Linked DNA regions of Drosophila melanogaster. The protein of the gene in region 4 interacts with the protein of the main gene of each other region in a pairwise test. Each region holds a gene or a part of one and is shown on either strand. Other genes may lie near its edges. The genes, in order: NC2alpha, BORCS6, RpLP2 and CG13965.

Region 1 (4,466 bases), on a different chromosome or scaffold from region 4:
AATGAATGAATTAGTGGGGAACTCCAAGGGAGAGCTGTACTTCGTTGGAAATTAAGGCATTTAGACAATAAAGACTTATTTAGAACGAATGTCTTTATAAGCAACTACAAGGTACTAGCAATTTTAAGGATGGTGGGATGCTTCTAGTTCTCCACTTCATGTTTATACAATACGGCTAGGTTCATCTCAATCGTGTTCACCTGATCCTGCAGATAGTCGATATCGTGCTCATGTTGCAATTGCTGCTTCACCAGGCTGGTGATGTCCTTTTTGATGAACTCCTCCGCCTCGGACAGCTCGAATTCCATTTGCAGAGATGCGCCCACTTGAAGGGTAACCTTTTGCACTGGCGGTATGCTCACCCATCTGAATACTCCCTGTGCGATTTGCACGAGGCTGTGAACTTCCTTGTCAGGATTGTCTATGAACCTCCTCACCAATTCCAAATTATTTTTGGCAGCCTCCAAACGGGTTAACACTGCTGTGAGGTCAGTCTCCAACTTGGCAGCCAGTTCGCTGTATTGCACATAGAAAAGGCGTTGCATCTTCAATGCCGCTGGAACAGTCGAATAGAACTCTGGCTTGGCGATGTAGCTGACGACATCGTCAACTAACTTGGCCTCTGGGATGGGCATAAATGACTTTCGGCCGCCCAGAGGCGGCTTTTTTATGGTGTCTATGAATGCAAACATTTTCAATAATTGTTGAACTTGTTTAGTACATCTAATTCAAAGATAAACTGATTTAATATCGTATGCAAATTAAACAGCATTATCTGCTAGAATGTATAAATTTTCTTTCTCTATTTAAAGTACTCCGCATTGCGTCAGCTTAAAATCCAGCATGGTCTTTATTTTGCAAAAAATGTTATTGTGATTTCTTAGACCTAGAGTACATATTAATGTATCAATAATTTAAAAGCGCATTCACATAGATCCTAATCAAATATTGTCATAGTCTTCGTCTAATTCGAAAACGGTTTCAGTGGGGGTCGCTGATGCCGCTGTGGCCTTTGGAATGATGGGAGCGCTGCTCTTTCCAGCCATTTGGTTCACATTATTGTTGTCCCCCGGCGTGGCCGCTGGTAATCCAATAGAGGCGGGGGGCACACCACTGCCAGGTGCTCCACCGGCCACGATATTCGTCAGATCGATATTGATCACCGGAGCAGCTATGTCGAAGTTAAAAGCTCCAGATCCGGCGCCCGATCCTGACCCAGAATCAGAGGCGTCCGGTGTGCACAGGTTCGCCGTCGGCATTTGCACGTGGCTGTAGTCGATCTTGACAATGGGCTTGTTGAGTTCGTAGTTGCAGATCGGGGCGGGTATGGCAGTATCGAGCTGCACCGACTGTTTCTTGAGGTGATTGGGCGGTCTGCCCCGTGGCGTGTAGGCCGGCATGGACCCGGAGCGGGCCAGCTTGGCGGGCAGGGTGGTGCTGGTGGTGGGAGTTTCCTGGGTGGAGTGCTGCGACTGAAACTGCCGCTTGGTGGCTGCGGCTCCTCCGCCCGATCCGGCTCCGTTGTTCAGACTCATGGAGCGCATGTAGGCAGCTGTGCCGTTCGCCTGCGAGCGCATTGACGTCGATGGCAGGCTAAGATCATATGGCGTGTCTGAATCTGGATACTGTTCCTCTGGCGAGCTGCGTAACACATCGTCCTCGTTGTAGGCGGCCTCCTCGGCCACACTGATGTCGGGTATGTTGCGGACCAGCTCCTTGAGGAAGTCAAAGCGTTTCTCGGATACGATACACTGCCTCATGTGCGATGGCGATAGCGTCTTGGCGTTGCGCGCATTCGTGATGCGCAGCGTCTTGGTCAGCAGCGACTCCACGAAGAGCTCCAGCGTGCGTGAGATGATAACAGGCACCGCCTGGGCCACCTTCCCGATTTCCTCGTCGCTTTGCATGATCTTCTTGATGCGACCCTGCAAGGAGTTTATGGTAATGGTTTGGAAACATTATAATCTCGCACCGGTTTGGTTTCTCCTCTACTTCTTTTGAGCCTCTGATTATGCGAGGCGTGTATGTACATATGTATGTACACATGCACGAAAACTGATAACCCATCTTCGGCGTTCACGGCCGCCAAATGGCTGGAGCTTTCCTGTCGCCAATCGGTGGTTTCAACTTACCGCCGGAAAGCGTGCGTTGTATTTTTTCTTTTTCGATGGCATTTTCCGATTTGTGAAGTAATCGTCAAGAGTCCTAGTGAAATAAAACAAATGTGTGTGTGTTTTTCACACAAGAACAGTTCCTTGGTGCCCAACTGTCGGCGTCGATGGGTGAATGGCAGTTGCTCTCGCAGCAGGCGGGGTATTCACAGGGAAGCAAAAGGTATTAATATCAAAATTTGAAAGATTAAAAATTTTTGTACATTATAAGAGATGTTATTTCTTTTTGTTGTTATTTATGTGATTGTTTTTTATTTTGCTTTGATGTATTAGGTTTCCTACACAGCTGACCGTCGCGCAGTCTGGCTACCTTGATCGTGCACTGTGAATGACTACAACCGCCAAGAAGAAGAAGAGTGCAGAACACTTCCAAGTACTTTTCACATATTGCAAGAGCGATTTAATATCGTAAGAATTCTGGGCAGGATTACATGTCTGACACTCGCAAGGATCCCTGCAAACCGAACGCCTGCCGCATACAAGCCTGTCTGACCAGTAAGCACCGCCGGTGACTCCATTTTCATGGTTATGTAAGCTGACTTGCACTCGGTTACAGAGAATCACTACCAGGAGGACAAGTGCTTGGATGTCCTTGAGGCAATGCGCCAGTGCTGTTTAAAGTGGCACAAGGAATCGCTTTGCTGCAGTGGAATCGATTTGGAGAAGACTTATCTACCAGACGCATCCAAGGAAAAGAACGCAACCGGCAAGTCGTGAGTTGTAGCCAACTTCTCTATTCCATATACACTATTATCAACTCGTTTTGCAGGAACAAATAATGTCCATACCGCAGTATAGGCCTCCGAAGGAAATTCAAGACTTGCTGGACCAAAAGGAGCAACAGCAAGCAAATCAGCGCAGGCGAACCGCTGTGCTACCCAAACGCACGTGGATTCAGCGAAATCCACGCCTGTTCCAGATCTCCTTCATCACAGGCTCACTTCTGATCTTCTTCTCCAAGCCCCTGTTTGACTGCTTTATCGCCGATCCCCTACCACCGCCGGAGAACAAAGTTCCGCCTCACAAGCGCTAAGCTAAGGCATGGAATCGGTGCGCAAAGCCAACCAAAGAATCCGCAACTATCCAGTTCTGCTAAGCAAGTGCGCGGACAAAGCCACTGCGTATGCGGTTTGCGTGTCGCGTGATCTAAACGTGCAGCACAAAATCTGCGACACCGAGTTCAAGGAGTTCCTAAGCTGTATCCGCAAGACCGCTTTGGAAATGAAGACCAAGCTTTAGACAAACGTAAACAATAAACACGATGACTCAAACAAAGGCTGCGACCACTGGATGGCAGCGACTGGGTCGCCGCATCCTTTACACTAGCTTTCGGACCCATCTACTAATATCCGCCCTGCTGCGAATAGCTTTAATTTGCTACGGACAATTACACGACAGTCAGTCCGCCGTGCCCTACACCGATATAGACTACAAGGTGGTGACTGATGGAGCCCGTCAAGTTCTGGCTGGGGACACACCCTTCGCCAGGCATACTTACCGATATAGCCCAATCATGGCATATCTGCAGACTTTTAACATCCTGCTTCATCCGGCGTGGGGTAAACTACTGTATGCGACATTCGATCTTCTCATCGCCACACTTATTTACCGTCTGGTGCACATGGAAATCAAGAGTCAGTACCAGAAGACCGTACAACACCTGCTTAGCAAGTTCAACAGGCCACGGGACTCGGACCAATCGCTGGATGCCCTGGATGAGCGAAGTCATCCAGAGAACTTGGCCCGCGCCTCTGCTTGCTTTTGGTTATACAACCCGCTGACGGCTGTAATATCCACACGTGGAAGCGGCGATTGCTTCTCAAGCTTCTTCGTGATACTAACTATATACCTGCTGTTAAAATCTGAGCACAATGTCACCAGGAGTTACTGGCTTATATTCGGAGCGGGCTTGGCTCACGGTCTAGTGATACACCTCCGTCTGTATCCGTTGCTATTCAGTTTGGCATACTATTTATCGCTATCAACGCGGCTGACACAAACTCCCCTCGACTTCCTGTGCCAAATCCTGCGGCCCAACAAGCAACAACTGTGCCTGATAAGTGGAACATTGATCAGCCTAGTGGCCTTCACTTGGACCTTCTACACAATGTACGGTTGGGAATATATATATGAAGCGTACCTGTACCACTTCGTACGCAAGGACCCGCGACACAACTTCTCGCTGCAGTTCCTTCTACAGTACCTGGGCAGTGCGTCGAGTGTGGCGGAACCTTCTGCGATCCTGAAGACTCTAGTGCTGGCTCCGCAGTTCCTGCTCATCCTCTACTTAAGCTT
Region 2 (3,947 bases), on a different chromosome or scaffold from region 4:
GGGTTGCCAGGCGGCCTAAGTGACTACGCTTAAGCTGGTCACTCTGACTCTGCCGGTTTTAACAATTTTACTGAAGTCTCGCTAATTTAACAACAAATATAGTTATGCTGTCCCTAAGCGATCCCAACAATGCTGGTGGCATTCCCGACAAGGCGTGGCAGCCGCACTTCGTGACCCTGGAAACGAGGTGAGTCCGGAGCTTGAATGCTCGATAATCGCCGAAACTGAAGACTGAGCATTTGTTTATCACATTATTTGTGGCATTTGTGCCCCGCGCAGCATGGGAGAAATCACCGTGGAGCTGTACTGGAAACACGCGCCCAACACCTGCCGCAACTTTGCCGAACTCTCGAGAAGGGGCTACTACAACAACGTGGTGTTCCACCGGATCATCAGGGACTTCATGATCCAGGGCGGCGATCCCACGGGCACTGGCCGCGGAGGCGCCTCCATCTACGGATCGGAGTTCGCGGACGAGCTGCACGGCGACTTGAGGCACACGGGCGCGGGCATCCTCTCGATGGCCAACTCTGGACCGGACACCAACGGGTCCCAGTTCTTCATCACGCTGGCGCCCACGCAGTGGCTGGATGGCAAGCACACGATCTTCGGCAGGGTCTACACGGGCATGGAGGTGGTCAAGCGGATCGGCATGGTGGAAACCGACAAGAACGATCGCCCCGTGGATCCCCTAAGGATCATCAAGGCCAAGGTGGAGAAGCTGTGAGCCAAGGAGGTGGATTTTTTGGAGGAACTGCTAGAATAAGTACGATTTAAACAAGCGAAAGGTATCTTTCCATATGGATTTTATAACACTGATTATATGTATTTACGGAATGACTAGAAAGACAAGATCTCTTTGATTGGTTGATCACAGGATAGCGTAGCCCTATTTTACATGGTGCTGTCCAACATGTCCACCAGCCGCTTGATCTGCCTTCTGCGGAAGAGAAAGTCCATTACACTAAAGGGATCTGTCTTGAATTGACCCACTTACATGCGCTGACCCAGCTGCTCTGTGGGTTTCATCGACTTGGTGATTTCCTCCGCCTTGGCCAGCAATTGGTACTGGCACTTGATATTCGCGTCCAAAGTGTCCGTCAGCTTGTTGACCGCGTTGCGATGGACCTCCACGTTGTCGGCCGTTATGGAGGAGATTGAGTGCAGCAGGTTGCCCAGGTTTTCCATCAGATTGTCCACCGAGCTGGCCAAGTACTGAGCCTCCAGTTCGATGTCGCTCAAGACGCTGCCGTCCACTTCGGGAATGTTGCGCGACTGCAGGAACCGCCGCGTGAGCAGACCGTTGCCGGAAGTGGCTCCAATGGGACCCATGGAGCTCAGGGGCGTGGTGTGCTCCGAGGAGTAGGCCGAAGCCGCCACGCGCTCGCGCAACTTGGCCTCTAGATCGTGGGCCACAAAGTGGCGCATCCCGTCGGAGTCACTGGTTTCGCCGTCCAGCTCGTAGGGCACAGCTGAAAGAAGGAAGATGCTTTAGTCAGGAACTATGGGTAGATAACCTAGAACCCACTGCTCTCTGCCTTCAGTCTGTGCCTTTCGATGTCGCCGGAACTGCCCTTAGAGTTGCTATTCGAGTTGCTGTTGTCCTCCTCCTCCAAGGGATCGTCTTCCTCGTCGGGATCCTCGCCCGAATCCAGGTTAAGGTATTTCTCGCCGTTGGGTCTTGTCTTTGTGCTTCCGGGAATCGCAGCATGGCCAGTGGCTGTGGGCGTCAGATCCTGGAGCACGTGCTCTGGCACCGCTCCCGGATACTGAGCCAGGAACGGAATTTCCGTGTAGGAGGAGGCGGGCGTGGCTCCGGATCCAGAACTCCTGGCTGCCCCTTCCGATGGGCCACTCTCCTCGGCCACATAACCGTAACGTGGGCGGATGGGAATGTCCTGGTGGCGGTGCGACATTCTGCACTGCTCTTTTCAATCCAAGGAACTTTAGGCAGACTAAGAAATGTATGTCAATTTTCTGAATGAAAACCAAAACAAAGCATTTACTGGTATATACCAAATGGTTATCGATAACATCTATTTATCGAATGTATTTGCATTAGGCCCTGTTCAGGCTGAGGTCCACCTTACCTATATCGAGCCTTTTTTACGTAGGATTGACCTATGCAACTTGATGTGCGTAAACTATATTTTCCTAACCCTGATGGAAATTTCGGTTTTAGTGAGAAACAGATTTCAGATGTTATTTGGTTGAGTATATGACAGTTCGATAGTATCGCACACTTACTCTTCACGATTTTGCTTTTACCAAGAAATGGTCACACTCCAGCTCGCACTATCGAGTCATCGATAGGACCGATAGGCCAGCCCGTTAAATCGAAGACAGTCGTGTTTATAATTTGCGGCTCCGAGGTGTGCGGCGCGCATTGGGCAGACTGGAGTGAACTAAGTAAATCTGCAGCGTTCTAATTTAATTGCGCGATGAGCGCGTAAAAACACACCTGCGTAGCGCTGCAATAAAACCAATGTAGATTTTTGTTTATATGTTCGCGTTTCCATCGTATTTTTCGAGTCTTATTCGTTTTAATTGTTAGTGCTCGTACGCTAAGTGAATTGCTAGCAACTTGGGGCTAAAAGTGCCAAAAAGAGCCAGAATCGAAAAGAAGCGGCTAAAGAGGAATAAGCGAAAAGGAAGCAACGAAAACGGTGTTTTGCTCTCTTTCTCCTCTCTCATCCTCGCCATGTGTGTGCGTGTGCAAATGTGTGTGTTGGCGTCGCTAAAAAAGTGCATGTGAAGATTAGGAAAATAATAAGGAAGGCAACGAAAAGTAAAATAAAATTTGATGTACAAAATACGCAAATTGGTGACAAACAATGTACAAGTGGCATACATGAAATAAAGTTTTATGCAAAAAAAACAAAATCGACTGCAGTGCGTGCACTTGTGTGTATGTGCCGCTGCATATGTGTATGTGTGCAGTGTGGAAATAAAGCAAGAGAGAAAAAAAAACTGTTTGCAGCCGGGGTACAAATTCCAATTGGAGTCTCAAGGAGCATAAATTCCCATTCGACGCATGCGTGGCTGCTAAAAAAAGCAAGTAAGTTAAATTGTTTGTACTAAAGAATCTTATAAAATGCAACTGAAAATGGATAAAAGTGTAAAAAAAAGGAAAGACTTTTTTGCCTTCTCTGTTTTCTACGGGTACGTACGAATGTGTGTGTGTGTGTGCTCTCTTCTATTTTGTTCTTGACTTCTTGTTCTTTTCTTCTTCTTGGCCAGTTACTCTTATGCTTTGTCTTTCTTCTCAGGCCGTTCTGCTTCTTTCTTTTAACTGCAAATTGTGCAGTCAGCAAGTATGAGAGCGAGAAAGAGACAGCGATCTTTCTTTTTCACCCACCCACTTCTTCCCCTCTTCCTCTAGCGGTTATATTCGCTTTATTGTATTGGTGCTTTTCCTATCTATATCTACCGTTATGTTTCGATTGCGATTTCGTAATAACTGCGATAATATTTGCTCTCTCTCGCTCTTCTTCTCTTTCGGCTTTCCACTCTCTTCCCTTTTAGTTATGTGTGTGTAACTGCACATTTGAATTGTTGTTGTTTTTATTAAAATGCGTGGGTTGATTTTTCAATCAATCAATCAATCGTTTATTTTGGCATCGATAATATGGAAAAGTGGATTGATATGTGGACAAGAAAAGCATGTGATGAATCAGGAGAAAGGAATTACTCGATAATTAGCTTCTAACTTTTATATTCTGTAAAAAAATGTATTTTTAAACGTCTAAATCCAATAGGAAAAACAAGCAAGTTGGTCGAAAATAAAAGAACTCAATTTCTGGATCCTTGTTTTGTTAAGTATTTCCCTATTTCGCACTTTAAATTCCATTCCATTTCTATAAACAAATGTTGTCGCACTCTTACTGTTTATTTACATCGCATCGAAGAAAGATTTTCCATTTTCATGGGCGACACTTGAACGGGGT
Region 3 (3,218 bases), on a different chromosome or scaffold from region 4:
CCGTATCATCCATCGGGATCTTAAGCCGCAAAACCTGCTGGTCTCCTCGCAGGGCCACCTCAAGATCGCCGACTTTGGCTTGGCCAAGACCTACGGTTCGGAGATGAAGCTCACCTCCGTGGTGGTCACCTTGTGGTACCGCGCACCCGAGGTTCTGCTCGCCCAGCCCTACAACAGCACCGTGGACATCTGGAGTGCCGCCTGCATCATCTTCGAGATGTTCAATCGGCGCGCCCTATTCCCGGGCACCTCCGAAAAGAATCAGCTGGACCGCATCTTCGAGTGAGTGCACAAATACTGCCATTGAAATCGGTGATTTTTAATTACATTTATGCGATTTCACGCAGACTGACCGGTAGACCCACCGAGCAACAGTGGCCACAGACCATTTCCGTGGCCCTGGAACACTTTCCCCAGCGGCATCCAAAGAGACCAAAAGACTTTTGCCCACACCTGTGCAAGTACGCCGATGATCTGTTGAATGTGAGTATGAAAATGAAGATACATATCTTGTTGCATGGTCTAGACTAACGCATACCCTATGTTTGCCCGCAGAAAATGCTTTCCTACGACCTCCACCTGCGACCATCCGCCTTGGCCTGTTTGGAGCACGATTACTTTCAGCAGGAACCCCTATAGTCTCGATGCCCAGAAGGATAATGGATAATGGATTATGGATTATGGATTATGGATTATGGATGTGGAAGTGAAAGTGGCAGTGGACTGATCATTGCGGCCGCGCTTCGTTCTTGTTACCAATGTTCCTTTAAGTGTAGTGAAGCATTTTGTTTATTTTTTCGCGACAGTCCAGTTATTGTGTCCGGGGATACGGATCCGGAATAAAGAATACCTTAATTTGTTTGTAGTCGTAAGTTAAGTGTGAATACTACTGCCGATCAACTATCTGATGACCATTACATGTGAAACGATTCTCGAGGGCGTTTGAAGGCCCTCCAAATCGAAATGTGATACACAAAGTTCAGGAATGCATTATACAATTTCAAAATTTTGTACAACAATCATTTATATATGCAATTATATATACAGCATACAATAAGATGGGTCTCATGTCTTTTCTGCAATTTATTTCAAGTGGGGGTGCAACTTAAATTTAAAGTGTTTTTGAAGAATAATAAATATCTCATATTAAACATATTTTCGAAAAAAATTTATTTTTTATACAGCTTTTTCGAGTTTTATTACAGTTTTATATTTATGTGTACAAATAACAGTTAAGTTCTGCTGTTAAAACGATGGTCATGTTAATCATCGATAGCCAGCTGTTAACTTTTACGCATCCCTAGTTCCTTCTCTTAGCTTACGATCACTCTCATTTTGCTCTCTTTCCAGCACTTAACAGTATGTTAGACCTCGCCTAACAGAACCGTTTCAAATGGTGTGACCGCCTACTGCAAGAGCAAAGTGCTTCCCACTATTACGATAGCCAAGTTTGAAACCCAGTGTTGCAACTGATAACATTTCCATGCTGTAAGAAAGGTCATATTATTAAGCTAATATAAATACTTTTTGATGTTGTAAATATAAAAAAAACACACCAAATTGTTCAAAAATCAATAATATTGCTCTAATTTTTATTTAAAAGCAAAATTGAAAATAATATTTGAATTTATCGTTTCATTAGGGGTATTGCTAGATAAGGATGTGGTATACTTTGGTATATATAAGTATGAGCTGGTATTTTCGAGCCTCGACCGCGCGGCCACACTGACTTCCGCCTCTTTTTCGACGACAACTTGCAAAGGAAAGTTGTGTTTTTCGTACATTTTGCCAATTCACGTTTCGTGTCAAGAACCCAAGACTTAAACATGCGTTACGTGGCTGCTTACCTTCTGGCCGTCCTCGGTGGCAAGGACTCGCCCGCCAACAGCGATCTGGAGAAGATCCTCAGCTCTGTGGGCGTTGAGGTCGACGCCGAGCGTCTGACCAAGGTCATCAAGGAGCTGGCTGGCAAGAGCATCGACGACCTGATCAAGGAGGGTCGCGAGAAGCTCTCCTCGATGCCGGTGGGCGGCGGTGGTGCCGTCGCAGCCGCTGATGCCGCACCCGCTGCCGCCGCCGGTGGCGACAAGAAGGAGGCCAAGAAGGAGGAGAAGAAGGAGGAGTCCGAGTCCGAGGATGACGACATGGGCTTCGCTCTCTTCGAATAAGCGGTTGAATGTGGCGAATATACTGTGCAACACACTTGCGAGGCGAGAAAGCAGCGTTCTGGAGCAGCCATTCATACATGGCCGGCCAGTCTACACACTTGTGTAGCACCCATCCGTTCACCATTTCTACGTAATAAAAATCAGCAGTGTTTGCACTTTATATAAACCAAGTGAAATTGTGTTTTTTGTGCCGTTTATGCGGTTATTTTCATGGTTTTTGTGCCGTTTTTTCACCCATAACAGTGGATCCACGTGTTGGCTAACATTCTGTTGGACGCCTACGGAGTGGATTATGTTAACTTAACAGTCGGCGGGGTGCACTGTTAAGACAGCGCATTCTTATTGGATTTTTAGATATTTTTTAGACCTTGTGTATAACAAACAAAATAGATGGAAATTAGTAACTACACTTTCAGAAGGGCAAAAATGGATCAGAAGACGAGATGACATATTGGTAAAGATATAAAATAACCTGCTGTCCGGTTCTAGAAATCTTGTATTTATAAATATTATCTAAACTAAACAAAATATCAAACTTATAGCTTTGTGTTGGATTAGAAAGGTAGCATATACATTTTTAGGGAAGTACTTCTTTTTAGTCCCATAAAAGTTCGTCAAAATATAATATGGAATATAGAGTTTTATAAACATTCTTAATAAGTAGTTTTATATATAAATACACCGAGGAATGCGTACACTAAAACTAATTTACATAAATATGCATTCTATTTAGGCCAGGCCCACAATGGTATAGAATATCAGGGGTAGTACCAGGTTGTCCACCTGGTCGGTGAACGCCTCCACCAGAGCCGAATTCAGTGCTGCGAAAATGGTGGCGAACCACTTGGCCTGGCTCATGGCCACCAGGCCGGAAATCTCCAGGAGCCAGACGGCCATGAGAATGGACACCACGAACGCAATGGTGCCCTCCAGGGATCGGGAAGATCCTAGAAGTATGGCACGCGTGTTAAAATAGAATCTTATATATGCGAATGAACGCATTGAAAGATCAGTGTATCTTTCAGTTCATTCTACTTACTTCCCCACTTG
Region 4 (3,470 bases):
TGTATTATGGAACCAATCGATTTCCCATTAGTCACTTATCTCAAAATAGAAAAAAAAACAACATATTTTTAAAAGGGGGTTACTCATTCTAAAGAAAGGGTCAATTTATATTTATAAAATCCATTTCTCCTCATTTGAAATGTATATCGCTTGGATAGCAACAATTAATGCGATTCAATTTATTATTTACACATTCGAACAGTGGAAATGTTCAATTAAGCAGTGATCCATTGATATGATGAACAAGGCTTCCGCTTCCCATTGTCTGGCGAGATCCGAGGCATTATGGCCCTGTGAACGACTTTGCAACGGGCCATAAGTAATCGCGTGCAATCCCAACCTTGTCGGACATCAGATGGAGTTACGTTGTTTATGGTGGTGCCTCACACGTGCTGGCCAGTTTTTCCAGCGCTTTTCCTTCTCGATGTTGTGGTATCCATCGTGGCCCACGACATGTCTGGGCACTACTAGCTCCAGGGACAAAAAGAGGCACTGATGTGAAAATATAATATATACGATAAAAATGTTACTATTTCTTTATCTCTACTTACCAAGCAGAAAAAAATCAACCGCATTGGGAAACAATAGACTGGCGACTAATTCAATTCGTCATCTGTGAAGTTCTTGGTAAAACCACATAGGGTGTTCCCGAATTTCGACGGAATATATTAAAATTATTTAGTTTTTTATTCAATAATCTTCAGAGATTGGTCACAAAACGAAAGGGTATAATGGGATATACATATGAGCTAGGGACGTGGCGTGGTAAAGGCATCGTTCCAGCTTGCCCAATGCTTCTCCGTCTTCAGGCTGTGGAAGCCATCATGTGCTCTAACGTGTCGAGGTCCCTTTATATGGCTTCCTGGCTTCACAAATGGATCTCCTCCATTTTCAGGGTCAGGCGAGCCGTTCGGGTCTGGGTTGTCCGTGCTATTAACCATATCGGTGCTATTTGTTGGTGATTCTGTGACCTCCGACCCCGCTTCTGTGGTCTGAGTTAATTCTCCGATGGAACTGGCTTCTGTAACTGGAGACGTTTCGCCATCTGTTGGGGACGCTGGAGATGATTCAGCCGCAGGGGTTTCCTGAGCCTCGAGCGCGGCTACCAAGAATATAGCGATTCCAATCTAGAACAAAGAAACGTTCGATTATGTGCAATAATGAGGGAATGCCCCATTGGCACTCACCAGCTTCAGTTCAAGTTTCGCCATGCCTATCGTCACACCTGACACATAGTATGTGTACCTATACTGCGTCGAAACCAGAAGCGCCGACTGGGCAAAGCCACCTTTTATAGTCGCTGCGCAGGTGGAATCGATTGGAGCAGTTCTAAATTGATTGCGGGAATCGCTGCCTGGTTCTGCGGGCAGAACTAATTCTCTTAGTGACCAACTGATAGATGGCGATCTTTAATTTGCGAACGCAGTCCGGGAAATTCCGGCAGACGCATCCAACACCTGATGCCAATCGGGTTTTTCGAGAGAGATAGAGAGCTGATTGCTCTGGGGCTGTCTGTAATTGTTGGCTTACCGATTTCCATAATGGTGGGCGATTCTGGAGCTATATAAGTCAGCTATGGCCGGCAGAGAACAATCAGTTTTCGCTTGGCCCTTGCTAGTTGAACTCAGTCGGTTGGGATGTTCATCAAGTTGCTTCTAATTAGCCAGGTTGGTGCCAGATCTTGGCCAGGACAAAATGGCTCGAACTATGATTAACTTAACATACATTTTAATTCTAGCTGCTGGCGCTGAGTTACGCTCAGTTGTCGCTCGACGAGGCTAAAAAGCAAATCGATGCCTCGCTTTACAGCGAAGAGGAGACTACCGATGATACGCATCTGCCGGAGCCCCACCTGCCCCCCCAATATCAGCCTCATCATCCCCACAAGAAGGTGACCACCACCACTCCCGAGCCGGAAACCACAACTCCAAAGCCAGAAACCACCACGAAGCCCGCAATAGAGCAGGAGGGTGAGGCCACCGCTGCTCCCGATGACGGACTGGGTCAACTGGATGATGGCTTGCAACAAAACAATGATGGATCTGCGCTTCCAGAGTCCACCACTCCGGAACCGGAAACCACGACCCCTACGACGACCACCACCACAACGCCAAAGCCCCATAAGCATGAGCCCCACTTTCATCCCCATTCTTATCCGCATCCTCACCCCTATCCCTACCCCATTCAGTATCCCTACCCCCATCCAGGAGTGATATTCTCTGCCGCGGGACCTAAGCTTACTCCTCCATCGACCACACCGCCCACTGCCAAAGATGCGGACAAGGAATCGCCGGAGCTGTCTGGATATCCCTCCTATCCGACCTTCAGATCACCGTACTCGCCCTACCAACCCCAGGTGTTCCCTCAGCCTCGTAACTGGCCCAGCTTCCCAGGATACGGACCTCCCAGTCCCGGTTTCGGATACCCCCACAACCACAATCACGATCACGAAGAAGACTCCGGCGAAGATAAGCCCAAGGACAAGTCTGGTGAAAAGGATAAGGACGAGGATGTGGCTCTGAAGCCACCAGGATTTAGCTACCCGCAGGTCTATTTGATTCCCCGAAGACCAGTGATCTCTGTGCCCAGCTTTCCGCGTCCAGGAGGCGGATATGGTTCGCCCTACGGCTACGGACTCTACTAACACTCTCCGATAAATACTGTGAAAAATCTCCGAGTCCAGATAGTCAATAATATCTTAGTTTTATTTCAATCTTGAAATGTACTTCCTAACACAATAAACAACTTTTAGATTATATTTTCATGAGTTTTTAATATTTGCATATAATATTTAATGCTTTCGATCGTGTAAATCTGAGTACAAGGTTCTTCACTGAATGTGGGACTGCTTGGAGTTTTCTTTCGGTGCATTAAGAACTAGTAAGTAAGTTAAAGGCTCCTAGATTCGGGAAAATGATAATTGATGATTTGCGCATATGAGATTGAGTTATGGGCTTCTGATTTCCCTATCGTGTAATCCCCAGGCTGATAACCCCGGGCCCCGACGCTCTCACCTTGGTGATTTCCAGTCGAACGGGTTGGGATCGTGGTTGCATTTAATTGCAGCGCATTCCACCCAGTCAACTCATAGTTCTGTCGATCGTCGGAAGTTCGAGACGTGAGTGTCAGTCGAGATCTGCGAGATGTTGCCGCTCCAATTCGTTTTGCTGGGCTGTCTGTTCATCGCTCAGGGGGTAACTATTCATCGGTTTGTTCCACAATTTAGGCTTCAATGAGTTCTATATTTTCAGATATGCCACACTCTGCCGGATCCCAAGGTAAGTTTGCTAGCAAACAATTTAGATAGTATCTTCTTTGCAATATTCCATAATCCACAGCTAAGGGTGCCTCGTGAAACTATCAACATTCCCACGCATCTCTTCAAGCCAGTGAGTCCGAAATCGAGCAACAAACCTATTTCTAATAGATCATCCTTAAATGGCGGAAACAGCTCTGCCCTGGCCGAAGCA

The links.
Region 1: the proteins of CG13965 (region 4) and NC2alpha interact in a two-hybrid assay, tested with the Drosophila melanogaster proteins (one large-scale study listed by BioGRID).
Region 2: the proteins of CG13965 (region 4) and BORCS6 interact in a two-hybrid assay, tested with the Drosophila melanogaster proteins (one large-scale study listed by BioGRID).
Region 3: the proteins of CG13965 (region 4) and RpLP2 interact in a two-hybrid assay, tested with the Drosophila melanogaster proteins (one large-scale study listed by BioGRID).

What each region holds. Positions count from the first base shown.
Region 1 is NT_033778.4:21,667,955-21,672,420, reverse strand, and holds NC2alpha (negative cofactor 2alpha), read right to left. Parts: upstream 2,270-4,466; 5' UTR 2,175-2,269; coding exon 2,133-2,174; intron 1,926-2,132; coding exon 942-1,925; 3' UTR 828-941; downstream 1-827. Other genes in the region: CG15676 (uncharacterized protein), read right to left, coding at 144-692; CG42381 (uncharacterized protein), read left to right, coding at 2,603-2,666, 2,728-2,884, 2,941-2,950; CG42379 (uncharacterized protein), read left to right, coding at 2,950-3,204; CG42380 (uncharacterized protein), read left to right, coding at 3,213-3,410; PIG-M (phosphatidylinositol glycan anchor biosynthesis class M), read left to right, coding at 3,433-4,466.
Region 2 is NT_037436.4:539,010-542,956, reverse strand, and holds BORCS6 (BLOC-1 related complex subunit 6), read right to left. Parts: upstream 2,107-3,947; 5' UTR 2,017-2,106; exon of another isoform or gene 1,956-2,016; 5' UTR 1,917-1,955; coding exon 1,529-1,916; intron 1,473-1,528; coding exon 998-1,472; intron 941-997; coding exon 895-940; 3' UTR 810-894; downstream 1-809. Other genes in the region: Cypl (Cyclophilin-like), read left to right, coding at 105-187, 280-727.
Region 3 is NT_033778.4:16,584,397-16,587,614, forward strand, and holds RpLP2 (ribosomal protein LP2), read left to right. Parts: upstream 1-1,732; 5' UTR 1,733-1,826; coding exon 1,827-2,168; 3' UTR 2,169-2,336; downstream 2,337-3,218. Other genes in the region: Cdk4 (Cyclin-dependent kinase 4), read left to right, coding at 1-282, 348-483, 556-639; Dolk (dolichol kinase), read right to left, coding at 2,898-3,115, 3,208-3,218. UniProt on the Drosophila melanogaster protein: Plays an important role in the elongation step of protein synthesis.
Region 4 is NT_033779.5:19,961,088-19,964,557, forward strand, and holds CG13965 (uncharacterized protein), read right to left. Parts: upstream 1,266-3,470; 5' UTR 1,212-1,265; coding exon 1,188-1,211; intron 1,128-1,187; coding exon 750-1,127; 3' UTR 671-749; downstream 1-670. Other genes in the region: CG42866 (uncharacterized protein), read right to left, coding at 352-492, 552-575; CG16772 (uncharacterized protein), read left to right, coding at 1,638-1,667, 1,739-2,644; CG10680 (uncharacterized protein), read left to right, coding at 3,144-3,194, 3,252-3,278, 3,339-3,470.